Linked DNA regions of Mytilus edulis. The protein of the gene in region 2 interacts with the protein of the main gene of each other region in a biochemical or structural test. Links are inferred from orthologs where the notes say so. Each region holds a gene or a part of one and is shown on either strand. Other genes may lie near its edges.

Region 1 (16,183 bases), on a different chromosome or scaffold from region 2:
CTAATTTACACGTTAATGCTACTATCAAGTTTAAAAATCAACTAATTTATTTTATGTACAATGATCAAATTGTTCATACAGATTAAGATGGGTTGCTTCCCCTGAATAAATGTCAATATGGACCGTTGTAGCATTTAAATATTACAGACTTAACATGAGGGGAGTTATCTCATATATTTGAACTAATAATAAATTCAAGATGTATGATTTATTTAGTTTATAAATATTACCATAGCTGCTCCTACTGCAATACCAGCAAAACCCATCTGCAAAACAAAATGTCAGAAAATTTCTAGATGAAATAATACAACAAACAATATAGAGGCATGAAGATACAGTTACATACTGTCTATTTAAATAATCCTGAAACATCAATAAAGGTAGAAATTAACATTTCACAAAGCTGCTATTTTTAAATCTCAACTTGTGACATTGAGGTTGTTATTTTGAAAATCAAATATGCAAGAATAATATAATAATGTTGGGTTTGTCAATTATCTAATCCCATTGTAATTACTTCAAAATCTAGAAATTCAAGACCCCAAACAATTTACATATAATTGGATAGTAAAATAAAGTTCCTTTGAAAAACTGAAAATTATGAAACACAAAATAATTAACTTTCCCCATTTGTGAAACTTCTATTTTCTGATTTACAGTAACTGATAATTGCAGTATAAAAGTAAAATTTAATCAGTGGATTAATAATTTGAATTTGAAACAAGAAATATAGATTCCTACACTGCAACAAGTGTATTACAATATATCTCCACTCGAGACAAGTTAAATTTTATTATTTAAAGCGTGAGGCTTGCCGAGCATTTTAAATAATTAAATTTAACTGTCGAGAATAGAAAAATATCGTAATACACGAGTTATAGTGTCAGAATCTGTTTCTCTAATGACTTTAATCATTCTTTTTCAAAGATTTTCAGAAACTTGTGTTCTTTATATGCGACGTCATCAGGCAAGGTCGCCTTTTTTCCTGACATCACAATAGGAAAATTGAAAAGAAAACAAAACATTATGACGTCATATAAATCAAATTTCGACTAATCATTTGCTGATTTTTCACTAGTGAGGAAAAATATTTTTCTCACACCAGTCAGGAAATGAGAAAATAGCACAAAAATTAGAGAAACAACAATTTTATTATTAAGAGATTGGTGAATGAATTTCGTATTTCAATTAAAAGAAATGAATGCAAACTTTAATTATGTGATAATTTTAAAACATTTTGTTACATTTTCCCACATTAAAACTTTAACAACAAATTTTAGAATTTACAATACATCATTCTGAGTTTCTTAATTATCTCCCCTTACATGGAAAAAGTATGAAAAAAAACACCAAAAAAACATTTAAATATTTCTCTGAGACAGCAATTCTGGTATTTGTGTGCACTTTATCTGTGTTAAGTTTGACTTATAATAAAGCCTGTCATAATTAAAGTTTTGGCTAGGTGAGCTTAAATTTGTTTTTAAATTTAACAAACCTCAGTAATAGGAGTATCTATTACTCTCTTGTCTCCATATGTCTTGTGTAATCCTCTGCTAACCTGTAATCATAAAAGAAAATTTCAGAGAAAAAAAATATCTTCTTTATATCACATTTACATAAACAAAAGAACCAGTAGTAGAAGACAGCTATGAGAGATGAAATCTGCTGAATTTTGTTTCGCTCTAGAAATTACAGGATAAAATATTTAGGTACACATGCTTTTTGATAAAATAAGTTATGTTTGATAATCTAGAGCTTCAAGTTTGGTTGTTTTCCATCTACTACTAACATCAGATACATTTATTGCATATACAACAAATAAATGTAAAATAAATCAAAACTTTTTTTCTTTTCTTTTGGTTTATGATGATGGCAGTTTTTCATTTTTGGATAAATTCACTAGTTTTAACAGGTTTGTACATCGTAACATTGAGGCGTAGAACATAAAGCTTTAATAACTGGAACATAGAAGAACATTTAAGTAGCCGTGTAGATATTTACAGCTAAGGCCATTATCCTGCTAATAATCTTTTCTTTCACATGTTTTACAAAGAAGTTCTCAACATTACAAGAAAGTTTCTATTTAATATTATAACACTATAGAATTTATTCCAATTATCCATAATAATATTGATGAAGGATAACTGTTCAATCAGGAACAACAAGGACTTTTCAAGGAAAAATTAAAGCATTTAATTTATATATCATTGTATTTTGAATTAGCAAGTTTTCAATGGTTCAAACTGATTTCAATTTTGTGAGAATATATTAAGAACCTTGTAGGCACCATCATACAATGCAACTTCCTCTCCCAATAGAAAAACTTTATCATCTCTTTTGATTTCTTCATCTATAGCAGCATTCAAGGCATCCCTGACAGTTAACTGTAAAAACAATCATTTAGATTTATTTGTAATTGAATGTGCTAAAATTAGATATTATTAATTAAAATTTTGGCACAGACAAAGGTCAGTCAATGACAGGCAAACATTGGATGTGAACTGAATGATAACTTAGTTTTAGATAGATGATTTTTTTAATAGTTATTATTGGCTTTCAAATAGCTTTCAGTAACGCCAATTACTCTCAAATCTTTTGTTTGAGTGACAACGTCTTTATTCTTTTGTGCTTTGTATTATTCTAATGAGTTAAAGCTCTTTTCAACTGATTTTTATAGTAATGTTGAGCTGCGTCACCACTGTCCAAGATTAGCGGTGTGGGTTAGGGCTTACAAACATGTTAGGAGTCTGTAATTTGGTGGTTGTCTTTTGTTGCTGTACATTTGTATATCCTATTTCTTTTTGTTCATGGTTTTGTTAATAAAAAAGTAACCCCTGCTAAACATATGTGGTAAAAAGGAAGCTGATGTGTGATGGATGTAAGACCACTGCTGGGTTTATTTTCTAATTTGGATTTAAAATATACTATTCTACCACTCTTCTGACACGCTTAGCCACAGACCCAGCAGCCCAGACATGTAAAATTGCTTTGACTTTGAGGTCCGTAAAAATCATCTCTACAAGTTAAGCTAACAGAATCTAACTGAACTTTCCCAAATTTGAGCTCTGTGCCTGCTGATTTAAAAGTTTTTCATGAAGACTGTTCTACACAAATGACTTAATGTAAATTTACCTGAGATCCAGCTCTAACTGTCGTTGTGGAAAACTGTTTATTGAAACTTTTCAATGGCACTTTCTGTAATTGTAAATCAAAATGCTCAGACCCAAATTAAAATACTGTTTATTTTTTTCAAAGCCAACCTACACAATGGTCCTTTGGCCAAAAAATATACACTTTTGCATGTTAAAAAAATTCAGAAAAATTTTACGCTGATACATTTTTGTATATATACATGAGGTAATTTGAACATGCAATTGCATGATGATAGGTTTATGATTTTCAATGTTTGACAAGTTCTACACTCAATTTGCATACATCTTCTTATAAAAAATTTGAGAAATCACTCCAGCAGAAATTGGATTTGTAGTCAAATAAGAAAGCTCTCAAAACTTACTTTTTGAATGATTTTTTTGCAATGCAATAAAATACTTAAGGTTTTGCATAAAACTTGGTGTCAGTTTGTGCAGGAAACAAGCATATATATGTAAGTATAATTGGAAAAGACAGATAATGAAATTCACAGTAGAGTGTCATTTCACAAATTGCCAAAATTTGCCATTTCCCAGTAAGAAGACGAAATAATTTCATGAATTTACAGTTGGCCTACTTGGAAGCCTGCTACAAAAGGTTCTGATAACAGAAATAAGCATGTCATACATCTTTTTGTTGATTATTTCATGTCCATGTAGATTTTTCATAGAGAAGTGCATGTTGTTATGGTACAGCCATCTGTGGCATCAGAAGTTTCTCATGTATAAATGCTGTATATTACACAAAACAATCTGGATATTGCATAATTTTTTTTATCGTACAAGTTTTCATCTGTACCACTTTGTAGTGTTACAAGTTGACCTTTCGTTGTAAGAGTTATCTAAAGCTTATTACCAATGGACCAATCCCCTTTTCAAAAAAGATATGGTACTAATGCATTTTTATGAGGGTAGTAATGGGGTACCTTCATGACGAATAATGGTAAAAATTCTTGCCAATTGATGTTAACGATAATTTTTGGTGCATGACGGTAATATGTACTTTTATTTCAGGGATTGAACTTGAGACTTTGGTAATTGTAGCCCACAGCTTAAATTTTGTAGCCCTGATATACAGTCCTATACAAGATAAGCAGAAATTTAAGTAGCCCACACCAAATATTAGGGCCATTGGCGAGCAGGCCCCTGCTAATTTCAAACCCTGTAATTAGACGATAAAAAAAATCGAATGATTTTGACGAATCACATTTATTGATTCCAAAAATAATGGCAATGATAATTATTTGGGACCTCTGACAAATCACGATAAGGATATTTTGACGAATCACAGTAAAATTTTAATCCATTTGACGCTAACAGTAGTCGAAAATGACTATTTGACACCTAACATTAAATAATGTGCCCTTGAATCAAAGCTAGGACATAATAAATTAAGTGAGTAATCATAGTTTTGTTACGATAATACAGACAGCATGTTAATTAGCTTTTGAATCATAAATGTAACTGTTTAAACTGATTACAGTGAGCATGTAAAAACAATTATAAATGTTGTAACTGTAAGTGTTACAGCAAGCAGTATAATGCATAAAGTTGCCGTCAGCTGAAATTTGTAGCGGTTATCGGTAAAAATAATCTAAACTATCAACCACGTTTACTCATGATATAGTTTTTCACATTCCATTCATGAATCGCCAAAAGAAAAACCACTACTGACCTACCTTTTAAGTGATTGCACTGTGATAATCCTGACCTTCACATTTTCCAAGACGATTTTGAATGGTGGAATCAGGCATTGTTTTACAGGAATTGTTTCTGTGGAGTTCAAGTTCTGAAAATTTGCATAAAGCGCGGGAAATGTTGTCACATCAATGAAATGAATATTACAGGAAACTCCGAAAGTGACGAATTTCACATGTAATCAAAGGATTATCCTCATAGAACGAAGATGGCGGAATTACAATGAAAAACATTCTGGAAAATGTGAAGGTCAGGATTATTACAGTGTGATCACTTATAAGGTAGGTCAGTAGTGGTTTTTCTTTTGACGATTTATTACAATTACAATATTTTTTTTATTTTCCAAATTAAAGGGCCCATTAAGAGCATAACATTAATTACAACATGACATAAACATTACAGAGTGATTAAAGAAACATAAAATAATAATTGAAATTCAAATGCATGAAGAAAGGATCAGTGGTCAAGGGGAGATAATTATGATATATTTTAGAGTATTTAACTAATTTTCTGATTTTCTTAGTTGCAGGCCTTTATCCAGGTATGCACATAAAATAGATAAAAATCAGCTATCTTCATTAATCATGATCCATGAAAAAAGATCATTTATATTTAAACTATCTAAACTGGGGTATTTTTTTATATAATCAGTGATATCTCTTCTGAGGTTATTGTAAATTGGGCATTCCAGAAGAAAGTGCATTTCATTTTCAATACAATTTGTATTACAATATAAACATATCCTCTCATGTCGAGGTAATATTTCATATTTACCACATACATTGGTAATTCGTTCATGTCTGCCAGTTTCTATTCTTAAACAGTGATTGCTAAGTCTGTATTTTGTTAACAAATGTTTTTGTGGGTGCTTTAAATCTAAATAATTTTCATAGTCAAATGACCTTTTGAATGAAAAATAAGTGTCCAATTTGCCTTGATTCTGTAAATAAAAATCTCGCATTTTCTCCCAATCATTTTGAAAATTTAATTTGAGCTGTTTTTTCAATACAGTGGAGTCCCCGGTGTCCGCGCGGCCCGTGTTATCGCGCATTAGCTGATTTCGTCATATCAACACAGTAACACATACAAAATCGTTCTTGTTAATGTTTTAGCCTTCCGAAGGGATAAAAAAGAATAAAATTGATAAGTTCAAGAATTAATTAATAACTGAAATCCTGTGATTTACCATATTTGGCCAATTTCCATTAAAAAAATTACATCATCAGATAAAATTGGTTTTATTTAATTCAAATTAATATCAGATTGAAATAATTTTTGCTCTGCATCCTTGGAAGTGTGTTTGGTACAAACTCAGCTATATTTTGTAGTGTAAAATCTTTCCTTTATTCCAAATAAGCTATTTTTGGAAGGCATGTGCGAAATCACCGGACATTGGAGGAACTCTCAGAACAGGGGTTTCCTTAATTTTGGACACACATTACACAAAATCTAGAGGATGAAACCATACAAACAGAAGATTTTATGAAATAAAAGTATATTATGAATGTGTTCACACAAAATTATCCAATTATTGGTTTTATCAGTTGAATGAAGTGAAGTCATAAGTCTTATGTGTGCGGATACACCGGACTGCACTGTAAGTTTTTAAATTAATTTTTTCCTAGATTTTTACATATATTTAGGTCAATATCCAATTTTTCACTGTAGAAAATGATATTAGAGAGCCATGAATTATTGGAACTAGTTTGACCTTTACTTTCCATCATTTTTTTACTCAGCATAAGCATTTTTCAATAAATTAGATGGAAATTTCTCTAGTCTATGCCAATACATAAACATATGTGTTAGCAAATTTATATAAAGAGGATATCTACGAGTGAACGCGATTGATAGTTTAGATTTTTTTTTACCAATAACTGCTACAAATTTCAGCTGATGGCAACTATAGTTACAGATCTTTTCTATCAGTATCATCACACATGATCAATCTATTTCATCTGACTATTTTTCACATTTTATCAACACTAGAGTGTGGTATTTCATTTTGTGTTTAGTAGAAACGGTCGGAAAAGTGTCAAAGTGAAAATAACGACGAGTTCACTGTAAATGTATGTTTCTGAAAACACCCAGACACCTTCAGAATGAAACCAACAAGTATCTTCCCTGACCGAAATGTTTGATCAATTTTTCTAGCATTTCGTCAGCCCAAGATACATTTTCTACTCATTAAACATACTCGCACAATTCGTTGAACTACAGCGGATGCCATATTGGATCACAGTAACCTTCACGCGATGTTCCACTGAAGAAAAAAAATCTGGATTCGTCTAAATACCTAACCAGAATATTTTCAACCGTTGTTTTCCACCAATCTCCCATCGCTCATCGAAGAGCTATCAGCCGATAGAGGGCGCATAATATAAAATACAGTCAGCCTAGTTTGATATTCTATAATTAAATAATTTATGGGAAGACTGCAGCATGATTTTATGTTTCTGCCCCCTTTTAAATTTCCAAAATATGGTCTCTTACCCTTGATAATTAAGCTTTTCCCAGATTTAAATGAAATGAAGATATAACTGAGGGTTTGGATGGGGTTAAATGTTGTAAAATGATTAAAGAATAATGCCCTTAAAAAATGAAGATTTTTTTAGCTAGAGAATAACCGGCAAAAAAATTGAAGATTAGAGACAAAAGGCGTTAATTTTTTGAAGATTAGAGAAAAAAGGGTTTAATTTTTTAAAGATTAGAGAAATAAGGGGTGAAAATTTAATGTTTACAGAATAACAGACCCCCCCCCCCCCCCCCCCCCCCCCCCCACATCTAGACCCGCATGACTACAAAAAAACTGCTATATTGAAAAAAGTAGATTTTTGGATAAAACCGTGTGTTACTGTTAGAGTGGGGTGCTCATTTTCGCCGGGGACACAATTTCGCCGTTTAAGGATTTTGAGGTGTAAAACCTTCAAAGGATGGCTGAAATGGAAGAAATGTACCCGTAAATTATATTTTTATAACAAATATAATATTTTTTTAAACTGAGACAAAATTGCGGGTCCTACCGAAAATGACCGAAAAAACGGACAACGATTTTCTGACAATTTCCTGAATAAAAAACGATTTCAAAGAAGTATTTCTAAGTAAATATTTGACTGAATGCCCTAATTTTGAATTTTTTATACCTTTGAAATGTCTGCTATTCATCTATAATGCAATTGATTTGATAAAAATTGTTAAAAGCTGCGGTTATTTGGTTTTAAATAGATGTGTAAAAACGGCGAATATGTGTCCCCCATTGACAAAACATCCGGAAATTTCAAACACCCTTTAATCTAACTTTTCAGATGATTTTCTTAAAACAAACCGGTTTTCAAGCTTAAGTATATTTTGCATTTGAAGTTATCTTCATATAGAAATATCAGTATACTTCAAAAACATTTAGACCTGAACATAAACTGTAGAAAACATGGAAAGATGTGGCGAAAATGAGCACCCCACTCTAGATCTACATTTACGCAATTCATGGTCACCAATTTGACTCAAATTTTCATATTTTATTTATAACAATGCAAAACATTTATCCAAACTATCAAAAGTGTGAAATAAACAGTTTACAGAGCATATGGTAACATAAATATTGTTATGTTTATCTTTTTAATACTGGTTAATGAAATCATTACAGTGTACTGGCTGGTCATTATCGCGTATGATACGATTTTGACACGCCTACATAGCTAATAAATATTCATGACTTTATAGACAAAGAACAGCACGTGTAGCCATAAATACTGGGAGTTGTAGATTTGTAGTATAACTGTACATATGTAGTTTTGAAGAATATAGAATATTTACAAAAATATAGTTATTAATTATTAGTATCCGAGCAAGTAAAACACGGATCTATCAATATACTAATGATTAGATATAAATATATTAAGCCAACACGTGCAGTTGGATTTTTATAGGTCTGTTTAATTTTATTTTATAGGATAAAAATGTATGTTTCTCCTCGTTTTTTAATGTAGAAGAAAGATTGTTAGTGGATCGAATCAGTCATCAAATGATTTGCATTTGTTTCACTTTCAATGTTGACATTCCTTTCCTTCAAATAAACAGTACATGTACAAAGCATGCGTTGTCCATCTCTAGTCAAGGGGTTAAATTGAAGTTCACATGAATACGGATTTAATGAGGTCGACTCAGTAATTATTCACTTGCAAGTGAATACTTCATTATCAATATTATTAAGCTTAATTTGACCAAGGAGGTTATCTATAATACTAAAATTACGAGGTCCAATTTGTCAGCCATCATCACGTAAAAACGACGAATCAAAGAATTCAACTTTATATATAACTAATATAGTACAAAGGTGTAGATTAAAAATTACACCACTCCAAGCCCTTTTGTTTTCCACGTAATTAATATTGCCAATAATTAAGAAGTTCCGGGTCGAATCCGATACCGATACCAATACCAATAGTATATTCACCTGTTACCGATTACCTTATCTGTACGTTCCACATCTGACAGGCGCACCACCAAACGGTGTATTCAGGATTAATATGCACATATAGTAATTACACGGGTCATAATCACAGGGTTGACACTACTTAATTGTCAAATTTTATTTATAACTAATATAGGACAATGCTGTTGATTAAAAAATACTCCATTCCAGGACCTTTTGTTTTCCAAATAATTAATATTATCAATAATTGATAAGTTCCAGTTCGACGGGTTCAAACAGAAAGATTTAAAAGCAGAGAAAACTGTGTATCTTATAATCGGCATGACTTTATCAGATGACAATACTAATACTAAAATAAGGCTTGCGCATAGTTATATACTTTAATTCAGTCACGGACCCGCGATATCACGGGTGTGTTCTAGTATGTTCTAATATAACCTCCTAGATTTGACAAAATTGTTCCATTTTGACTGCTAAAAGAGAATTATTTTATTATTTCACTTTTATTATTGATTGAACAAAAACAAATCATACTTTAGATTTTTATACATCTCGTAGCTAGTGTCCCTTTAAAAATTGTGAAAGTAATCAACTAATGTCTAGTCGAGATTCACGTTGATAGTAAACATGCATATTTAAAGTAAAAATATGGTATATTAGTATATATATGGTACAAATAAGTGATATATTAAAAAATCTGAGATTTATGATAATAAGGGGGATGGAATATGGGGTGCTCATAACAGGATCCTGTCCTCAAGCAACTATGGTTGAAACTGGGGGAAACAGTGTTATCATTTTCAGACTCAAGATACTTTATGATCGTAACGATATTTTTCATATTATTGTTACACTTCCATGTAACCATAGCCAGTGCCAAGAACAAATCTATCAAATTCAAAATTCAAAATCAAAATTCATCACATGGAGGTAGAAAATATACATACAGCCAGTCTATCATATTTGACGTCACAAATTCATTCCCGTGCATGAATGGTATATTTGAAGGAACTTCCTCAATCCTCAATCGTATGGCCTTTAGGCATAACGGTTCTAATTGATACATATTAAAACCTACGTGGATTCTCCTTGTAATTTTCTCCATGTACTTTAATTTTGTTCTTGCTGTTACGATTGGGGTTGCAGATGTTCTGGTAAGTCAAAACGTCCGTGTTTTTATTTGCAATAAAGTCCCGGAAACGATTTCTAACTTCCGTTTATATTTTCCTGTGCTTTCTTGGTCTACTGACTAAATCTTGCTAGTAGGGTGGCTGTGTTTATATTGCGTATTCCTATTTCCTATGTTATTTGTCGGTTAATAACTTATGCTTCGTTCACGCGTACATTTAATTCGAATTGAATGCGAATCGAATTCGCTAATCGCGTTCACACACTCTTCTTTTTGAATTCGAATTGATTCGAATTGACTAATTCCAATTCGCATTAGAAATACGCTTTTGTTAATACGAATAAAAAGTTAACGTCGTTTGGACAGTAAAGCGAATTCGACGCGCATTGTAATATAAATTAGAATTGACGTTAGGACGTAATGCGAATTAAACTAATTCGAATTAGTTAATGCGAATCGAATTCGAATAACGTGTGAACTCAGCATTAAGGGGACGACCATTTGATATTCTAGGGGTGGGTGGGGAGGATTTTGAAAATAAATAACTCAGCCTTGATAATCACAAAAATAAATGGTTTGTTCTGTGGTAGTTTGAAAATAAATTACCTGACTTGCAATGTATTGAAAATAAATAAGTCAACAGGTCTAGTCGAAAGTATGAGTTGGCACCAGATTCATCATAAATTCATCTTTTTTAAAAAAAAAATCGCCTTCGTCAAACACTGCCTAAATTGTTTAATAATAAAAGTATAAATATTATTTAAATATACTTGAAATGTCTGTAAATTGGCTTCATTTAACTTGAGGTATGTTTTCTCAGCAACACTTTAATACCTCACTTTTAACAGGGCCGTAACTACATTTTGTACATTAAGGCAAATGCCTCATGTAGAAAATTTCAAAACCAAACGCTTGTCTCCATATCAAATTGTTTTCACGTCGAGTGCCTTGCAAGAAGCAAGTTCTGTTATCCCTAAAACGTAGCCCCTGATTTTTCAGGATCAATGTTTCTTATTTATTTGTCTTTTGTTCATTGATTGCCCTTCTGTATTCTGTTAGTGTTGCATTCCTTTTGTTATATAGTAATTTTGTTATTAACTTGATCATGAGTTTAAAAAACAGAAGCCTTCAGTGGCTCAAAAACCCTTTAAAAAAAAATTGCCTCGCTCCGCTCGGCCTATAATGTTTTGCCAATACTTTTTAAATAGGCTAGATACACTCAATCTTCAATATAGTGTCTGGAAGCAATACATGTATATGCAGTTGGGAATATAGAAGATTCATTTCTGCAGAGGAGAATGATTAATTCTGATTAAATGGTACATCATGATGACTTAACTATACATGTATTATTTATAATTTATAAACAAATAATTTAAAAATTGGATGTTTTCGAATATTATAAATATAGTTGTAAAAATAAATAATCAGTCCCTTGCTTTAATGAAAATAAAAAATCTTGCTTCAATAGTGCAGAAAATAGATAACATGTCCTCTTAGTTTACAAAAATAAATAACCGATCAAAAACAAATCCTCCTGCCCCTCCACCCCCACCCCCCCCCCCCCAGAATATCAAATGGTCGTCCCCTAACTTGCTAAGATTAAGTTGAAATATCATTTCCCGGTGACAAGATAATATAAAACCTAAACTACTCAACGAACTGGCCACAGAAATAGCCCCAATCCTTACAATCATTTTCAAAACATCAACAGAACTGGGGATGTACCAAATGACTGGAGAAATGCGAACATAACACCAGTATTCAAGAATGGAGAAAGATATAAAGCAGAAAACTATATACTAATCTCTCTAACTTGTATCTGCTGCAAACTAATAGAGCATATAGTTACAAGTCATATAATGAAACATGCTGATCAACATCAAATCCTCTATCCGTTACAACATGGTTTCCGTAGTAAACGCTCGTGTGAAACCCAACTAATCGAATTCGTGGATGACATCACTAAAAATATGAGTGCAGGTAAACAGACAGATGTTCTTATAATGGATTTCTCAAAGGCATTTATCAAAGTCGATCATAGTCTCACAAACTAGAACATTACGGTATCGGTGGTAAAACCAATAGATGGATTGCTAGCTTCTGATCCCATCGAACGCAAGCAGTAGTAGTGGATGGAGAGAGCTCATAACATATTGATGTAGAATCTGGAGTTCCCCAAGGCTCTGTACTTGGTCCTGCATTATTCTTGTTCTACATCAACGACATGCCAGATGGGATCAAATCCTGCTGGTGAAACAATAGCATATCTTACCATCTCATCTGACAAAGATTCAAACGACCCCCAGAGCGACCTAGACAAACTGGGAACATGGAAAGTCAAATGGAAAATGTCCTTCCATCCGGACAAATGCAATGTTCTTACCATCAGCCGCAAAAACAACACCATTCCAACTTCGTACATATTGCATGGTCACAAACTTGAACCTGTCAAAAGTGCTAAATACCTTGGTTGCACCTTCACATCCGAACTGAAGTGGAATGATCATATCAATAACATATGCAATAAAGCCAATAAGACAATAGGCTCCCTTAAGAGAAATCTAAACATAGGAGCAACCTCAGTCAAAGAAAATGCATACAAAAGCCTCGCAATACCAGTAATAGAGTATGCAAGTCAAGTATGGGACCCATACTTTAAAACCGAAATAGATCGTCTAGAAATGATCCAGAGACGAGCAGCAAGATATGTTTCCAACATACACCATAATCACTCAAGTATCAGCAAAATGATTGAGCACCTGGATTAATTGACCATCTCTGGAAAAAAAGGCGAAAAGACGCTAGGCTAAATATGCTCTATAAAATAGAACACAACAAAGTGGCTGTAACTAAGGAAGGTCGTTTTATGCAACCAACACGACTGTCGAGGAACATGCACGACAAAAGTGTCTAAATATTTCAAACATCATAATGACTAAATTTTTGTTTGATTACAAACCATATAGTAAATTGTGAAACAAGTCAGAGCACAAAGATTTAGTATTAATTTTACTCTAGCGTTCAGCTACATGCTGCTTGAATTCGAAAAGTGACTTCTTCTACAACATAAAAATGCAACAGAGATGAGGTATTGTACTCAGTATTGTTGGCACTTTATAAACGCATTTTGACTAAATTAAAACTCTGATAAATCCATGTATATGCATCGAAAAGTTTACTGATGCCATATGAGTAAAAGATAAAGTCAAAGTCCAAATTCCCTTGAAGTTCTAAGGCTTTATTTATAGACGAAATCAGTATACAGAAAACATTAGCTCTAAAGCTATTGAGCTTTTATACCGTCTTATAATTACAAACAAAACATTTAAAACAAAACAAGCATGCTACACACACAAGACTGAGCTACACACACAAGACTGATCTACACACAAAAATAATCATTACATTGAAGCATACATTACGATATAGATGACACGAATAAATTAAATATGTTAAACTATGCAGAACTATTAAAAGTACATGCATAAACAATCAATAATGCCAACATACAAAGCACTTTAAAACACATTAGCAATTATAGCAATCTAATTAAAAACCGATCTCTCATCGATCCTGTTTCTGATATGTCGCGTGGGAGATCTAACGAAACCGGCTTTGAGGTCACATGTGAGTGAACTAAAAGTTATGAATTTATAAAGATATGCAAATGAGTTGACGACCTATTAATAAGCCAATCAAAAAAGTTTATGAATTATTTTGACTGACGATTTCGTCGTAAATAAAATGAGTTACATCCCTTTGCCTTACGTTAAACTTCCAAGATCGTGGAAGACTCAATTCCATTGGTCGAAAAAGACACACCTACGAGGTCACTCACATGTGACCTCAAAGCGGGTTTCGTTAGATCTCCCACGCGACATATCAGAAACAGGAGCGATGAGATATCGGTTTTTAATTAGATTGCAATTATAGCACATCAAGCAGAAAAAAAGCACTAAAAAGTATAGCATTAATAATGTGCGGGTATTGCATCGACATAAGGTACCACTTTAGGCGACAATAAATTTAGAAAATTGTTTAATTTTTTTTTATCTCTAAAACTTGGGGTAGTTCATTCCAAATTTTGCAGCTATGTATCTAAACGAATTGAAGCCATGTATATAGCTGTTGTTCTCCGTGACCTGGGGCTGTTCAACTGTTTTTTTTATTAACCAAATCATTTGAATATGATGGACTCTTTTTGTGTATAATTTAAAAAAAATCTATATAGCTATTGCTCGTAATATTCTGACCGTAAGAGATGAAAGTTTTGACTTGTGTAGAAAATCTTCATATTTTACCATATTCACCCGGGAGAGGGAACTGGTCGAAATGTAGTTGGGATCAAGATTTTTTTTTCTGTAAGTGGAACTTGAAGAGGGGTTCAATTTTATCTCTAATGAACTTTTGAATTATATGAAGAGGGTGGTAAAGGGTTATTTTCGTGCAACGTGATCGCCGTTTTTTTATGTCACGTTCAACGTGTTTTACTTTTTTATTTGACGTTCAGTCGTGCAAGACGGGTGCCTCGTTCAACGTGTTCTGCTTATTTAATTTTACGTGCATCGTGATTTTCAAAGTCTTATTTTGCGTGCTCGGTATTTTTCAAATAAAATTCAAACACTTGGCAGGGATCGTCAAGAAATGTTTATACTAAATCGGGAATATCAACGTTCAAAGTGAAATTATGTCTTATTTCACGTTTTTTTTTCGTGCAAGCACCCCCCTTTGCCACCCTCTATGAAGTCACACTTTCTACATTTCATGTGTGTCAAAGGTTAGTATTTTGCATGTTAAAATTATGGTATGTATAACAGAGGGGGAAGGTCATATTTTTAAATGTTTAAGTTAAAGGGTTGGATAAATTAAAAAAAAACCACACAGACGTATATCTATCTAGATATGTCTCTGATATAAATAATGAAGTATTTATCCTCCCTTTTCAAATGTAAAAATGGCAAGTCCCAAGTTCCAGAATGTGCAAAGCTGTACTATGCAAAAAATTACCGATATGCTTTTTAGACCGGGATATTTTGGTATTTTTCACCACTGTTGAAGTGTTCACGAAAGAGTTAAGACCAGAGACATATATACACTTATGTGTATATGTTCCAGACCGTATGAGTATTTGGACCGTACGCGTACGGTCTGGACCGTATGCGTACTTTTTCAAAATACTCATACGGTCGGACCGTACGCGTACGGTCTGACTTATATTAAGAAGTTGGCAAAGTTAATTAGATGCATATAACAGATCAATATAACTTAATTCTCAAATTGATATAAAAAAGTTTAACTGTAATTGAAAAAAAACCACTTTTATATTTTATTGATTTAAAAAATTCACGCTAATTGAATCTGTTAATCTCTTGTATTTTTAGCATGTCGATCACTTAGTAAAGTAATTGAATTATGAACACTAAAATTGAAAATATTGGAAGTAAATATAATGTGGGAGGAATATTGTTTTAGAATATTTAGCAACTTTACGCAAAATGCAAATGCTAAGGAACATACACGAACTGCAAACATGTAAATGTAAAAAATATTAGTACGTTACTTGTGGTAGCAAGTGTAACATTGGTTGAGAGATCTTACCAAAATAAGGATCAAGATATATACAATTAAACAAATATTTAATTTCAATTGTTCATTTGTTCACTTTTTCCGTGTAATTGTAATAATATTAATTAGTAAACCTGAAAGTAAAGATTGTGATTAATGTTAATTTGTTTAAATTTAACCCATATGATCTAATAACATAATTATATA
Region 2 (15,929 bases):
AAACCAGTTGTCTACTGTTACCCACCTTGATATCTGCCCTTGATCTATAGGTGTTATTAAACCAGTTGTCTACTGTTACCCACCTTGATATCTGACCGTGATACTATAGGTGTTACTAAACCAGTTGTCTACTGTTACCCACCTTGATATCTGCCCGTGATACTATAGGTGTTATTAAACCAGTTGTCTACTGTTACCCACCTTGATATCTGCCCGTGATACTATAGGAGTTATTAAACCAGTTGTCTACTGTTACCCACCTTGATATCTGCCCGTGATACTATTGGTGTTATTAAACCTGCTGGCGTTGCTACTGCTACATTTACATCTACTATATTATATCTGAAAAAATAAAACATAATCATATATATATGTATCTTTTCCAGAGGGACATATATACAACGACATCATCAAATAATCAATCTATATATATAGTTATAAAGCAGATTGAAATTGCTGTCAAAACTTAACATACAATCTATTAAAGATACATAATAATGATCATGAGCTTTGAGACCACAGCTTCATTGAAAACTTGCTTCATAAAATCTTAAACCATATAAAAGGCACAAACAGGAGGGATGCAATGCAGACCAAAAAACACAAAGCTCCCATTCTTTGTAAGGTGGGGCATAAAGATAAAAAAAAATACACTGCTTCTCAATTCATATGTTCCATATGAGGTCATTTGAGTTGTAATTATTTCCCTTGGCTGCTTTTCTAAATTACTTGCCATTTGAAATATGGAATACAAGCAAGTCTGAGACAACTCTCCATCCAAGTCACATTTGTAAAAGTAACCCATTATAGGTCAAAGTACTGTCTTCAACAGGGCGCCTTGGTTTTATGAAAAGCAAGCTTTAAATGGCCTCAAAAATGACTAGTGTAACACTGTTCAAATGGGAAACACAATTGTCTAATCTATATTAAAATGAGAAACACCCCTGAATTAAATCAACAAATGTCAACTTCTGAACACCAGACTGCTAACCCAGAATAGGTGCAAACAAATGCAGCGGGCCATTTAAAATACTTACTGTCGTATTGAGTCGTCCATCCACGATGAGTTGGCCTCTGGAATCTTTTTACACGATAATGCTGATGCTTTTATGATGAAATCATTAACAGATAATTTTATGTTGTCTTTTGATAAAATCTCATTCAGTTCTTTACGTAATCTGATAAAAAGAAAACGTACAAAATTTAGATATAAACAAGAATATCTACGGTTGATTGATTTTTGGTGCTAGACACCACTTTCAATTCTCTTAGTGTGGAAGGGTGAAATTTAAATGGTTTGTATTTATATAGTTTTTAACCATTTAACCAATTTAGCTGTATTATCCGTCAGTCAATCAATCACTCATTTCAAATACACTAGAACTATTAATTAAATGACAATTAAATATATGTGAGTAATCATAAATACCTAAATGAATAATATGGTGATAAAGTAACACAGTGGCTGAGTATAAAGACTCAAATGGACATCAGAATATGAATAAGTATATATGGTTCAAAATGTCTGCCTTCATGCTGAGTAAAACCAAAAGAATACTTTTAAAGAACAAAGAGATTTCCCTCCACACATATACATGTGATTTAACTGACCAATAAGAATGGACAAAGTGACCAATACTGACCATCAGTACAATGAATAGACATTTAAAGGGTTCACATACCAGAACTCAGGTCATCAACTTAATTAGTTGTACTGATGGTCAGTATTGGTCACTTTGTTATATAATATCCATTGGAACGTATTTATTGGATTTGTTTACTTATTTACAGAATAGAATCTTATGTCAAGATATGTCTTAAAAGAATAAAGCATGCTGTTTTGTTTATCTTTATATGCTAAAGATAAACAAAACAGCATGCTTTATTCTTTTATTATTGACATAAGATTCTATTCTGTAAATAAGTAAACAAATCCAATAAATACGTTCCAATGGATATTTATTATACAGAAAAACATAACATCATATAGATCAAAGTACAATTCTGAAAGTTAAAACTATATACATACAAACCATTTAAATTTCACCCTTCCACATTAGCTATATCATTATGGCAAGTGTTTATTGATAGAAGAAGCTTAGAATTAACTTGCACCCTATGGCACGAAATCCCTAACCAAAACCTTATGGATATCCTTTGATTTAAAACAACAATAATTTTGATAGGACCTAAAGAAATGATCTTTTCGGCATTTTTGTATTTTTAAGCATAAGTGTTCATAAGTGTCTAATTAATTGCATTCCTGTAGGTTATATTCTACCTTTAAAGCAGGTTATTTTTATACTTTTTATTATTTTTAAAACTTCATACTTCTTTTTTTTCATGCTTAAATGCTTTAATAAGTTATCAAATAAAAGTTTTCTCAAATAAAAATAAACAATTAAATTGGGAATTCAAAAATTAACCAATTAAAGTTTCTCCTAAAGCAGGAATGTGTTCAGTCCATAAATTATAAATGCAATTACCTTAAAACTTTATCTACATTAACATCCACAGTTAAATAATAATGAGGAATTGTCTGTTTGGACTGCACTAATCTCTTTGCTATCACCTTTCTCATGTTGGTCAGAGGTATATCTACGAAAGCTCCCTCTGGTGCTGATATTGGAACAGATGTAGGCACGGCTGATGGTGAGAAGTTGAGTACATCATCTGCCCTGATTTCTCCTCCTGGACCAGTGCCTGCTACTTGCTATGTTTAAAACATATCATGTAATTTTATAAATTGTATGAGATAATCACTACAAGATAGGTTTCCTAAAATTAATAACTAGCTGTTTAAACTTTTTTTTTAAGCAACATTTGTTGTCCAATCAAAGGATACTGACACAGCAGTAATAATGATTTTTTCACCTATTTTATATAAAAAAAAATAGGTTGAAATTGTGTTTATAAATGAAATAAAAATATACATGAATATTTAATACTAAAACGATCCATGAAATACTAAAGTACATGTTGTTGTCCCTAATATATACAATATAACAAGAAAAATCACTAGAAATTGAAATATCTGTTACTTAAAAGCTTCATACAATCAGCACAGTATGTTAACATATTAATACAAATAAATAGTTCTCTATCAGTCAGGGGACTTACTGCAATAAGTGATTTTTAAATCACTTATTTGAATAGCAAATTCGAGGTTTTGTTACAAATTGGGATTTTGTAGTTTTTTTCAAAATTTCAAAAACATAGGTTTAAATATTATCTTTAAATTAGTTAAATAAAAAAAAAAAGAACTTTTTGCTTCTTTTAAGTAGCAAGGTTTATGACTTTGATGCTATCATTTATCTGAAAATTCTATTTTAGTTGTAAAAATTCTATAATAATGGCTTTACATAATGAACTGATACTTTCTTAAAAGATTTTTCCCAGCAGTGTCAGGGGTATATTTCCTGTGAAGTTCAAGGTTTCATCTTTCAGATTATGTAATAAAATTCTACTGTTCACGATAAAATTTCACTGTTTGGGGGTGTTGAAATTAGTAGGGGTTATTAAAAGAATGATACTTAAAGAAGTGATTTTTGGGAAGAAAATTGAGGTCTGATACTTAAACAAGTGATTTTTATGTCATTATCCTAGACAACACAGATTTTGGTTCTGATAAGTTTAGAAATTAGTACCTGGATCATTAGTATTCTATATTTAGAACAATAATAAAATTAAATCACTTCTTCTAGTGATTAATTTGTACTACTTAAATAGGTTATTATTAAAGAAAGACAACTCTAACTTCCAACCTTTATGGAAATAATGTTACTTGAATCAGTGATTTAGAAAATCACTTATTTAAGTAAGTCCCCTGATTGTCTATAAATACTAACACTAAGATCAATGCCCTTATCAGCTGCCAACTTCTTTGCATATGGTGAGGCTATCGCTTTGCCACCAGATGGAGGCACTGACAAAGATGCTGCAGGAGGACGGGCTGCCTTTGATGGTGCTGGTGTTGGTGGTGGAGCCACTGCCGCTGGGGATGGTTTAGGAGGGGGTGGAGGCGGAGGTGCAGCAGGCTCAGAAGCATCACTGTTAGGAAGTTGGTCATCAGCTGCTGTTGGCTGGTAATCTTTGAATGCTGTAACATCTTCTTCATTTTCTACTATTATACAGAGTAACTGTAACAAAAAAAATCATTAGCATTGTTATTTGTATATTAATTTTGTTCTTACCTTTAAGACAGAAAGGGCTGATAAAAATATGCATGGGATGGGACAAAGTGAAGGCACTTTAATATCTCAACTTACAGCTGTCAACTTAGGAGGAGTGTCAAGTACAGTGTTAATGTAAGTGAAATCTAAATTTGTTAACTTTTTTTTATAAATGCATACTCTTCACTTTTAACATTTTACATTTATTTGACGGTTTTATTTTTCTATATGAAGTGTATGTGTGTTCCTTCCTAATAATAAATCTGGGTCAGTAAATAAGATTATAATTCATTGTGTTTACATCTTAGTTGGCTTCTTTCATTATCTGTCATTTACCAATGAAAAATGTTTATATGTTTTTGATTAAATTTTGTTGCATATTTTGATGAAATAAGACAACCCTTCTGTGTAGGTGAGAGCTCAAAACAAGGATTTGTTAGCCAAAACCTGAAATGCATACCTTAAAAAAAATATGCTGTTTTATTATTATTTTTAAACATCTTTAATCTTTTCTCATTGAGTTTTTTTTTTTTTTGTAACTATATAGGATAGAGAATGGAAACAGGAAAATGGTCAGAGACAACAACAAAGACTTAGAGTAGAAAACAGCTATGGGCCATGAATTGTTCTTCGATTGCAGGAGAAAGTCCATATATATTATAGTATGCATTATATATATATGTCTATAGCTAGTACCAATTTAAGACTACAAGTTCATTTTCTAAAATCAAAAAGTTTTAATACATAAATTTTTGTTCCCAGGAAAATATGGAATTCAGAAGTCAGCTTAGAATGCTCAGGACTCACTTCACCTATGAAATTTATCAATTTCTTTTACTTCAATTGACTGTATCAATATTCTCCTACCTTCCCAATGGGAACATCTTTAGACCCTGCTGGATGAAATATCTTGGCCAGGTAACCCTCCTCAGATGATTCAAACCCCATAGTGGCCTTATCCGTTTCTATTTCTGCTAATAAATCTCCCTCAGCAACCTTGTCTCCTTCCTTTTTCTGCCAGGAATTTATAGTCCCCATTTCCATGGTCGGGGATAAGGCTGGTAACGAAACCTTGGTGTGTGCTGGTAAATCGGCTACAAAATAAACCAGATAAATTCATTTGCTTTCTTCCGTGACCTTTTCCTTTGTAGAACAAATTTAGAAACTTCGTATTAAGTCTCTTTTTTAGTAAATAGTTTGGTATGTGCACTGAATAACAATCTAATGTTTCCTTTAGGTTCAAATCAAATTACTTTCTGGAGTTACTCCCCTTAATTTCTATTTTTTTAAATTTTATAATAGGCATCTTATATTAGCAATTGTTCTTTGGACTTTGGAGGAATAGTCTAATGGATATGCATACTTCCTCTTACATATTTATTGTATTAAAGTAATTTAAAGATCAAATGAAAAGCATCTTAATAGCTCATATATCAAAATAATAAATAAAATAACAACATTTCAATTTAATTTTAATCAAATTCAAAATGATAAGTGAAATTATTCATAAAATTGGTGGTAAATCCGTTTTTAGCCTTGATCACTATCCATAGACATTTTCTGTTTATTTTATTATAACTTTCCACAAATTCAACCATTCAAAACATGTAAATTTGAAGGAAAGCAAAGTGACACATTATGTCACATAATCATGACAATCAATTTTAACTGATACATTGTCATGATTGTAGGTGCTATAGAAGAAAAAATCAAGATTGATACATTTTCAAAATAGAAAAGCTTTCTGCCACTAGTTGCCATAAGTTTAATCATTGTTTTCAGTATCAAAAAATGTGTCAGAGAAAAATTTCAACTAACATGTTATATTGAAAACACTTATATGAACCAAGAAGAAAACACACATTTATGCACCAAGTAAAAAATAAATGATAGTGTATTTGCTATAAAATGTAAGAACATCATACCTGAACTATAACATCGGTAGTTCTGGACCAATCTGTGAACCTGTAAAAGCTGCTGCACATCTTTGGTTGTGTTGCTACAAAACAGACAAAAAATATGGAAAAAGTAAAAATATGAAGAAGCAAATTATTTTTTTATGTTGGTTTATCATCAGCAAGAATTTTCCTTCAATTATTTTTGTTTATGCGAAAATAAAATAGTGTGTAGTTCCAGTTACATCTGGTAACATAAACAAAAATAATTTCCAAATTAAATTAATATAGATACACCAAGTTTTACTACTTTCATGGCACTACCATATCAGCTGTTTATTTTAAATGTCTATAAATAGCCAGAAATAGTTGTCTGTTACTTAGGTGTTTTCCAAAGTATTTTTCCCGCCTAAAATGATCATGTGACATGTTTGTAAACAAAAGACAACATTTCATCAAGGAATTCATTTATTTTCTGGATTATTCTGCTTTTAATAATTTAGTTTGGATTTTTATTCATTTCATTTAAGGTACAGTCAAGCATTTGTATTTAAAAATAGTTTGCAAAGAATTTTTACTTTTCACTTTGACAAATGTCTCATGATCGACATTCATTGGCTTGTTCAACCATGCAAACAATGTATATTATGTAAATTAGATATCTATCAGCTGTCAAAAATATTGATCTAAGCAATCGATGTTTTGAAATCGTTTTCCGGTTTAGTTTCTTGTCAAAACAATGTCATATCATAATCTTCTAGGCAAAACGATGTTTCTGGGACTTGGGGGATACAATCAGGACGCGTGATTAGTATCTGTATTCACTTTTCAATCTATTGCAGTTTGCTAATCAGCTGATTACGAAATCGATTACAAAATGGCGTCCTAGTGAACTTTTGTTTACGTTTGAAGGGAAATAACTCGAGCGGTATTCATAAAATATGTCTTTCAGTACCGTAAAGGTATGGCGTCAGGAATTTCGACAAAACTAGGGCAGGGCGCCAAATTTTTTTCCCAAAAAGGGCAGGGCGTCGAGAAATCGCGGCAGGGCGCCATTACACACCAAAACCACCTGTAGGAAACACTATCTTAATTTCTCATAATAGTTAATTGTCCTGCATTTCATCAAGGATTTGTATAGTAAGATTTCATTAAAAAGTAAACTGAGACTAATTCAAATAAAATTGAGAATGGAAATGGGTAATGTGCCAAAGAGACATCCCAACCAGTCAGCCTGGATATTGTTTTAATAATGACTTCATGGTTCAGCAAGCAAGCAAACCAAAGATATTACCTCTATCTACACACTCAATGAAATGGTCTGTAAAGTGATTTTTACTCAAGGTCTAAAGGTAATTCTCAGAAATATCTTGCATCGTTTGGAGAAAAATAAATTCAGCTAAATACTAACCATCTATATATATAGCTAACAGTGCAATTAAGTCTTTTATGGTCATATGTTCTTGTTTCATAAATCATGATCAGGTTTTAAAATATCCATCACGCCTGGGAACAGTATATTTAACAGGAAATGAATAAAATAGGCTTTTTAGAATAAAATATTGATGAAATCTCTGACTCCATGAGACTTAACGAGATTTATGGATTATATATACATGTATGTGTCTAACTGAAAACTACAAATGTATCTGAACTGCTCAATGAACATGATGAATCTACCTAATTCTAATCGTAAATAAATACAAGTTTTTTTTCATAAAGTTGATATATTTTGTCATATAAAATGACCAAAAAATCTGATTAATATTTGTGGAAAGTATTTATAATGTTATTCAATTTCAACACCATTTTTTTATTTTTTGCATTCTGTACCATTTTGCATGTTCAGAGATAAGTTACAAGTTTGATACACTGGCATCACTTTAAAACTAGTTTGAAGACATTTTATTAATATCTTGTCAATAAATATGTTACTGATCACGCTGACGCTGTGTCAATGTCAATATACACCTTATCACTATTTGTCCACCATTACTGGATATCACACGGGTTTCCTTTAAATTTTGAGGTCATAATACAAAATATCTGACGACACAATGGAAAAGTGATTGTTGTATGCATCAAAAGTTCAAGGGGCCAGGTCAGACAGGATATAAGCATTGTAAATGTTATTGTGTCAATGTGATGCTCTTTTATGCAGGACCTTCATGACCTTGTATGTATTTTTTTTAATAATGACAGACAAATTTGTGTACAACCGTAAACAAGTTTATACAATTGTCATAAGAGTCAAAATCCTTTTCAAGAGAAGATAAATAATTATTCTAGTGGAACCAGCTTTTGACGACACTGTAGTGCGCACATCAAGCGTAGAAACTTTAAATCTGCTCTCACGCCCCGTCAATAAATCGGCAGCGCTCTCATACCGTTATATGAAAGCCAGTATTGGTATCGACAACGTACTCATACAGATAATAAAATAATATAACAGATCATCAGATTTCATCATGAAAGCCGAATGTGAAACATTTCTTGTCTGTACCTTGATTTTAAATAAAACTGATTATTTTTGGTAGCAAGTGTTCTTAGATTGTTGCTGTGTTTTCTTTGTAGTCTAAGCAATACACGTGCAAGTCGTGTTGGACGAAACATTTTGAAATTTGTTGTCTGCAACTTGTTGTCCAATGTCAGCAGCAATGTCACAGGTAGTTTCGTACATATTATTTGATTATTTGTTTCCGTTTTGTTTTCAAATAGATCAATTATAAATTTAGAATGAAATTAAGGGTTTAAAATGAGAAATTATTATATTTTTCTGTGAGTTTGCATATATATCCGAAACTAATTTTAAGTTTAATATCTCGCGTGAGTTCATTTCCATGGTGTTTTGTTTACAAATGTCTGCCTCCATCTATTAGTTCACAGATTTTATAATTTACTATTCAACAGATTACCTGACACAGACATGCCTGCAGGTATAACATTGACCATAGGAAAAGAATTTTTTTTTTTTATTGTTTTTAAAAATTGAAATGTAAAATGACCATAAATTGATAATGGGGGTCTCATTGACATTGGGGAAAAGGGGAGGGGGATCGGAGACTGATCCAAGATCGCCCTTATATTGTTTTATGACAATCCTGTATCCTGCTAGTTGCCATAATATGAGGCAGGCATAACCTATAAAAGGTTGAAGTCTGTATGTAATATTTTACTAGACTTATAGATATATAATTTAGTGTGTACATCCATTGTGATTTTTGTGGTCCCCATGTTCGATGTACATACACATTTTTAAATGATCTTTATGAACTTAACTGCTTTCTGTAAATCATTTTTAAGTTAATATGAGGCAGGCATTACCTGTGAACATGGTGAATGGGGACGAAGTCTGTATTATTATTTTTTTTAATTCAAACATGTTGATAAAAGAAATGGAAATACAGTAACGTTTCCGATATTGGTTCTGTTGGTAGGTATTTAGTTGTGACGTTATTTAAGTTATGACGTCATATTCAATGTAAACAAACAAACGCTGTTATAATAAAAGGTAACGTCTTTTTGATATCAAACAATTATTAAAAATGATTAAGTGTTAAATTCCTTCCTATATTTGTTGATATGTTGAAGGACGCCTCCGGGTGCGGGAATTTCTCGCTACATTGAAGACCTGTTGGTGACCCTCTGCTGTTGTTTTTTATTTGGTCGGGTTGTTGTCTCTTTGACACATTCCCCATTTCCATTCTCAATTTTATGATACATGTAAATATACATTTTTTTCAAAGTCTCATGCAAACAAGACCGGAAACGGATGTAGATCTGAAAAAAAAGTTAACGATTTTGAGTTCATTAGTAGAATGAAAAATTCAGGACATTTTCTCGATTTTTTTTTTTTTTTTTTTTTATTGATTTTTCTACCGTAATTGGGGACTTCGTCCCCATATAAAATACATAGATAATATATTATTATTTAATAATCAATGTTTAAAAGTCACCAATATGTGCTAATATTAAAATTTCAAGTGTTATTCAGTCATTACAAGTGTTATTCCGATAATAACAGTGTTATTCGGTCATTCGTGTTACCCTATATTTTACTATATACATGTATATATATTCTCATGACAAACAAGACCGAAAGAAGGAAGTAGATTTCTGCGCAGATGCAGGAAAATAAAAAAGTCTGATTTTTTAAAACAAATTTGAGTAAATAAATAGAATGATATTTTTGCGGGAATTTTTTTTAAATTTAAAATACAAGTTTTTTTTTCTATTATTTTCTTCTTTAATAGGGGGTCCCCTTTCTAGCTCATAAATGTAATTTCCTTTGTCATGCTGGACTTTGTTTCCTGTTTTTACACTTAATTATTTGACTTTCACATGTCATGCTTAAAAATAATCGACCAATCTTGTGTAAAAAAAGTCAGAAATATGACAGTTGTTGTCCATTTGTTTGATGTGTTTTATCATTTGATTTTGCCGTTTGATTTAAGGATTAGGGACTTTCCATTTTGAATTTTCCTCAGAGTTCATTATTTTTGTGATTTTACTTTTTATTTCTTAAAATATTGATCATGTTGATACAAAGCAAAATGTTTCTAAAAAGAATTAGAGACATCAAAAGACCATTCAATTTATAGCTCCTATTTTTAAATGAGTTCTTCTATTTAATGTACACAAAACATAAGGTGACTTTTTCTGAGCAAAAGAGGAATCAAATTACGTCTATTATGCTAATGTAACTTATTAACTATTTTATAAGAAATAAACAAATTGTAAAACCCTTAATTATTAAGTATATTTATATTTAAATTCAAGGGAGTTGTGATAATAAACTGTTAGTTTACAGAACTCTGTGTACATTTTAACATCAATGATCTTCACATCTCATTTGCGTGGTGTTATAATTACCATAACTTATAATATTGTAATGAATCACATTGTGTTTTTTATTGTAGCAGCAATTAGTTCTGTTATACTGCTCACATAATTGATAACTCTTTTAATTTAAAATCTATAAAACTCTTAAGCACAATATATTATCAATTAAAATGACTACTACATTTCCTCAGCTAATATTACATGTATTAACTTCATTTGTTTATCATTTTAAAATCACATTTTATATTTAATTCAACTTCTTAACTGAAATATATTCAAACTTAAACATCTAGATCTTACACAAAGACTTTGTATTTGTAGAAATATATTGTCAACTATTAAATTAGTGAAATGTTTCAACCATACCATTGAATTTAAGAAACTTTTGAGACTACTGTAAACCAACTTATTTTCGCGGATACTTTTTTTCGCGTTTTACCCTTTCATGACCACTTCGCAGCTATTTAATTTCGCGATTTTCTAATTGACTTGATGAAGTTTAAAAAGGAATTATCCAAGCTTTCCATATTCACTACGATTTAAATTCGCGTTATTTTTTTACTCGCGAAAGTCGCGAAAATAAGTTGGTTTACAGTATTGCCTGCATCAATTGTTTTTCAATACAACACATATAAGTTTTAATTTGATGAAAGTTTTCACTTTTTTTATAATTCATTTTGTCCACTGTCATTTACTTGGCCCATTATACTCTATAACCATCAATTGGATTTATGTTTTACTTTGTTTTTATACATTAAGGTTAACATAAAAATGATAGCTTAAAAATTTAGAGCCAAGTATTAAAATGAAAAAAGAAATATATAGCCTACAGCATGTGCAGTGAAGCAATTAAAGATAAAAAAAAATCCATCGATGTTAAATTTAAGTTATTCACTTGCTTAATTTCTTTTATTAAATTTTCTGAGAAAACACTTATCATAAGAACAACAAAAAGGTTTTATTTGTAAAAAAGTTTAGGAGATGATGTACATGTATGGTATGAGACATATATGCACCGAAGTTCAAATGAAGTGGATGTAACCAATTAAAGGCTACCATACAGCCTATAACATTGAAAAAAACCATATTGTAAAGTCTGCTATAAAAGGACCTGAAATGAAAAAATATGAAACAATTCAATTGAGAAAAGTAATGGCCTATTTATAACAAAACAATTTATGAAAAACAAATATGACAGACATGAATCAATGACCACCACTACAGTCTTCATGCTGAGTGGCAACCCAGGCAGCCTAGGCTTGTAAAATTGCTCTCGGGCCTGTAAAAATCATATCCTCAGGCCAACAGAATCTAACTAAAAATTTTCAAAAATTGAGCTCTGGGCCTGTAGATCTAGCAGTTCATCGTGAAGACTGCCACTAAACTACAGGTTCTTTGGACAGGGACATAAAGAATGTGGAGGGGTTGAACATATCTGTTGGTGCTTAGCCCCCCTCTAAACTGGGACAGTGATGAAAGAGCACAACAAAAGAAGAAACTGTAACATTCAGTTCAATGAACAAGATTGAAACTTTTCACCATGATTGTCTCTTGGTAAAGAAGTAAAAACAAATCTTAAATTTTAAAAATATTTCAGAAAATCAAATAGTTGAAGGTAATTTGTCGTGTTTGTGTGAATCTAAATATGAATAAAAATGTTGTTGTAAAATGTGTTTTATTGTTGTGAAACTACTTCTCAGAAATTATTTAAAATGAAATTGTATTCTTATTTTTTGCATTGTTTTCACATTGCATTTGAAAACCACAGTAAAATTCTGTATCCACCTGTTTGACATGACGTAATTTCATAGAAGTAGTTTCCAGCAACTCAAATCAACTAACACTATATGTGAATGTTTGTGATTAAAGCTTTTTGTATTACATTTTAAAGACATAACCAAACAATAAAAAAAACAAACAAAATAAATATTGCTGAAACAAGCCATTTTTGCTCTGCCTTAATATGAGTATTGTTTTCCAGTATTTATTTCAAGAATCTGAAACAGTCTGAGGAAATTTACCATTTGATTAAACCAAGCTGTAATTTGTGTTTTTATATAAGATGTATGGTGGTTGGTGGATGTCCAATTGGTCTTGATTTATGTATCAAATTAAAGATTATGTTTCATATGTATTGTGTGTATGCACTATGACTTTGAAATAGAAAATAATAGCATAGGCAGATTCAGGAGGGGGGGGCTTTCATGGAAAAAATTTGATATTTGATTATATAGGGAATCACTGAAGCATGACTGGAGCAGGCCCCCGCTTATGAAAAGTTCTGGATCCATCCGCCACTGAAAAGCCCTTTTTAAACATATTTAAATAAATTGAGAGCAATATTTCTTTTAAAGTTTACTCCAATAATTATCAGTACATTGTAAAGATTAACAAAGACAAACTACATATCGTCGCTGTTATGCAAAAACCTCGTATCTCAATTTTTTGCGGAAATCTTTTTATCGAAGATTTAGAATTAAATATGTATGTTCCACTGTATGCGAGAATATCTGATCTTCTAACCAATCATTAACCCGAATTCTGACATGTGACGAAATAGTGTAGTCGGATTGGTGAGACATTTTGTTGTGTGAAAATATCGTATCTCAAAAGAAAAACACTTTGCACAGCAGCTGACATTATTACAGTTACAGTTTTATCAATTTTAGGTTCTCAAAGCTAATATATTAGCTTAAAAATAATGAAAATACAATATAGGTGCAGAAATTTTGCTCGTCTTGGTAATTGATTGGTTAGAAGATCAGATATTTTCGCATACAGCGGAACATACATATTAAATTCTAAATAATCGATAAAAAGATTTCAGTTTTTTCTGCCTGGTGTAAAATTATCAAAACGTTAGATATGAGGTTTTTGCATAACAGCGACGATATATACATGTATATAATGATAACTTTGATTTTTGTTTATTTAAATATATGTGATTGATTATGTTGATATGGTATACAAAATTCTCAATAAAAATAATAGCATTTTGTTTGAAATCCAATCTGCAATATAGTATATATCATACCACAGATTCACAAATTATCTCCCCTTATTACACCTCCATATTGTTATCCTCAAACAAATCACAATAGTCCAGTCAATCTAGCACAAATTTAACCCTAACCTTGAAGTAATTGAACAGAAGATTTTTAAGTTTTAATCTTTAGCATTATACCCCAAATATATACACAGAAAAAAGTCCCCTAAAATATAACTTGAGGAAAACCAAAAAATAATGATTTTAAAATTCCTATGGAGATTTGCATTGTTATGGGAGATAACTCTGCAAAAAAGACATAAATATCAATAAAAATTGATATAAAATTATAACTTTACCGCTTCTGTTCAACAGAATGTATTGATTCTATATATTTAAGACGTCTTTATAGTATAACAAACAACTTTAAAGGTGTTTTCATATCTTATCTCAAGTCATAATTCATTAGTTGACCATTTATTAGATTTTTTCCGCATGTCAAGGTAAAGAATCTCAAATTGAATAAAACCAATTAAGCATATATATTCTTCTTTTTGTGGTTTAAAGATTTTTTAAACAAAATAAATATTCACATTATTTTTTCAAAATGGTCACAAAGCCATAAATTTGCAATTTCTTTAAAGAAAAATGTGCCAAAAAAATTAGAAATACCCATAACACTTCAGTTTTGTACATTTCATTAGCAGAAAATTAACTAATGAAGACAAATACAAACTTATAACCCCATCATAGTATCATATTTTACACGAATTTTAAGAAAATCAACCAAAAACTGACCCAAAAAAATCATTTTTGCAGAGTTATTTTCCTTTCCAATGTTAATTTCCATAAGAAATTAAAAATGTAAAATTTGAGTTTTCCTCAAGTATGATTTTATGGGACTTTATTCTGAGTATATTTGGGTACTAATATTTCTTTAGATTAGAACTAAAAAAAAATCTGTTGCAAACTTTGTTTGACTGGACTTAACCCAAAATATAAATGTTGACCTACATTACAGTATATTCACATGTGTATGGCATTAGTAAATTCATCCCTTATCATTATAAATTGTTTCTCAACTCTTTCCTCTTCAGGTCACAATTCACAAATTTCTGATTTTTGAATGTGCTTCACATATATATAACTCTTTAATACCAAGCCTGAGGTTAATTTTTTGCATTGATACTAATGTAGAATTTTGTGTATTTTCAAGGTATACAGGGCTGATAGTATTAAACACAACTCTCAATAAAATAAATTACTCAAATTTTAGTTTACAGTAATGTTCAATGATGATGGTTACTGTTAATTTTAGTCATGTTTTTTATTGTTTCAAAATTATCTTAAAAAAATCAAAACTTGCATTTTAAAATTTTGTTTACACTATTTAAACATAGTGCAGCTGTATCACATGAAATTAAAGTATCAAATGAACCAGAATTTTTTTAATTAAAAAAATATAACCAGTGCAGTCAAGATTACAGTATTTAGTACATGTATATCATGGCTCACTAGTTATCTCCCTTCAGAAGATTTCAAACATTATTTTAGATAAAAGGATCCTATAATTACAAAATCTTATGCACATCTCATAAATGGCTTATGGTTTAAATTATAAAAAATAATGTTATCTAAAATTTTCAATTTGTGTTTATATTTTTTCAGACAAGAAGGACAAGAAAAAGGAAGAGGCAACTCCTACTGTGCTGAAAGGAGTCTATGTTTTCCCAAATGGAGATAAATATGGTAAGAATACTTTTTGCAAGCAAAGAAGTTGTGTAAATTTGTAAAGAGAAGTTGACCAATCAGACCAAAAATTATAAAGGGGCAGTCATGCGCATGATAAGTCTTAAGCAGAGAAATATAAACCTGTTCCCTGTCCCCTACTTACATGTACCATAAGCATATTTATATATTTTATAGACATATTTGGTTAAGCACTATAAAGTCCATAGCTTTCCCATTATTGTCTTATGTAGAATTCCCATGGAAAAAAGAAAGTGTAAAGACACCAACAAAAGTACATGTGTA

What was found.
Region 1: the proteins of dihydrolipoyllysine-residue acetyltransferase component of pyruvate dehydrogenase complex-like (region 2) and pyruvate dehydrogenase E1 component subunit beta, mitochondrial-like form a complex in vitro, tested with the Homo sapiens proteins (2 studies listed by BioGRID and IntAct, with this or other methods). The link is inferred for Mytilus edulis from reciprocal best matches to the Homo sapiens genes DLAT and PDHB.

What each region holds. Positions count from the first base shown.
Region 1 is NC_092344.1:86,486,901-86,503,083, reverse strand, and holds the start of pyruvate dehydrogenase E1 component subunit beta, mitochondrial-like, read right to left. Parts: upstream 7,171-16,183; 5' UTR 7,078-7,170; coding exon 7,045-7,077; intron 3,196-7,044; coding exon 3,133-3,195; intron 2,385-3,132; coding exon 2,277-2,384; intron 1,559-2,276; coding exon 1,496-1,558; intron 267-1,495; coding exon 231-266; intron 1-230. UniProt on the Homo sapiens protein: The pyruvate dehydrogenase complex catalyzes the overall conversion of pyruvate to acetyl-CoA and CO(2), and thereby links the glycolytic pathway to the tricarboxylic cycle.
Region 2 is NC_092355.1:10,354,673-10,370,601, forward strand, and holds the start of dihydrolipoyllysine-residue acetyltransferase component of pyruvate dehydrogenase complex-like, read right to left. Parts: upstream 8,741-15,929; 5' UTR 8,681-8,740; coding exon 8,571-8,680; intron 6,172-8,570; coding exon 6,098-6,171; intron 5,267-6,097; coding exon 5,040-5,266; intron 4,140-5,039; coding exon 3,849-4,139; intron 2,714-3,848; coding exon 2,487-2,713; intron 1,179-2,486; coding exon 1,038-1,178; intron 343-1,037; coding exon 299-342; coding exon of another isoform or gene 261-298; intron 1-260. Other genes in the region: MORN repeat-containing protein 2-like, read left to right, coding at 8,994-9,003, 12,507-12,524, 15,564-15,644.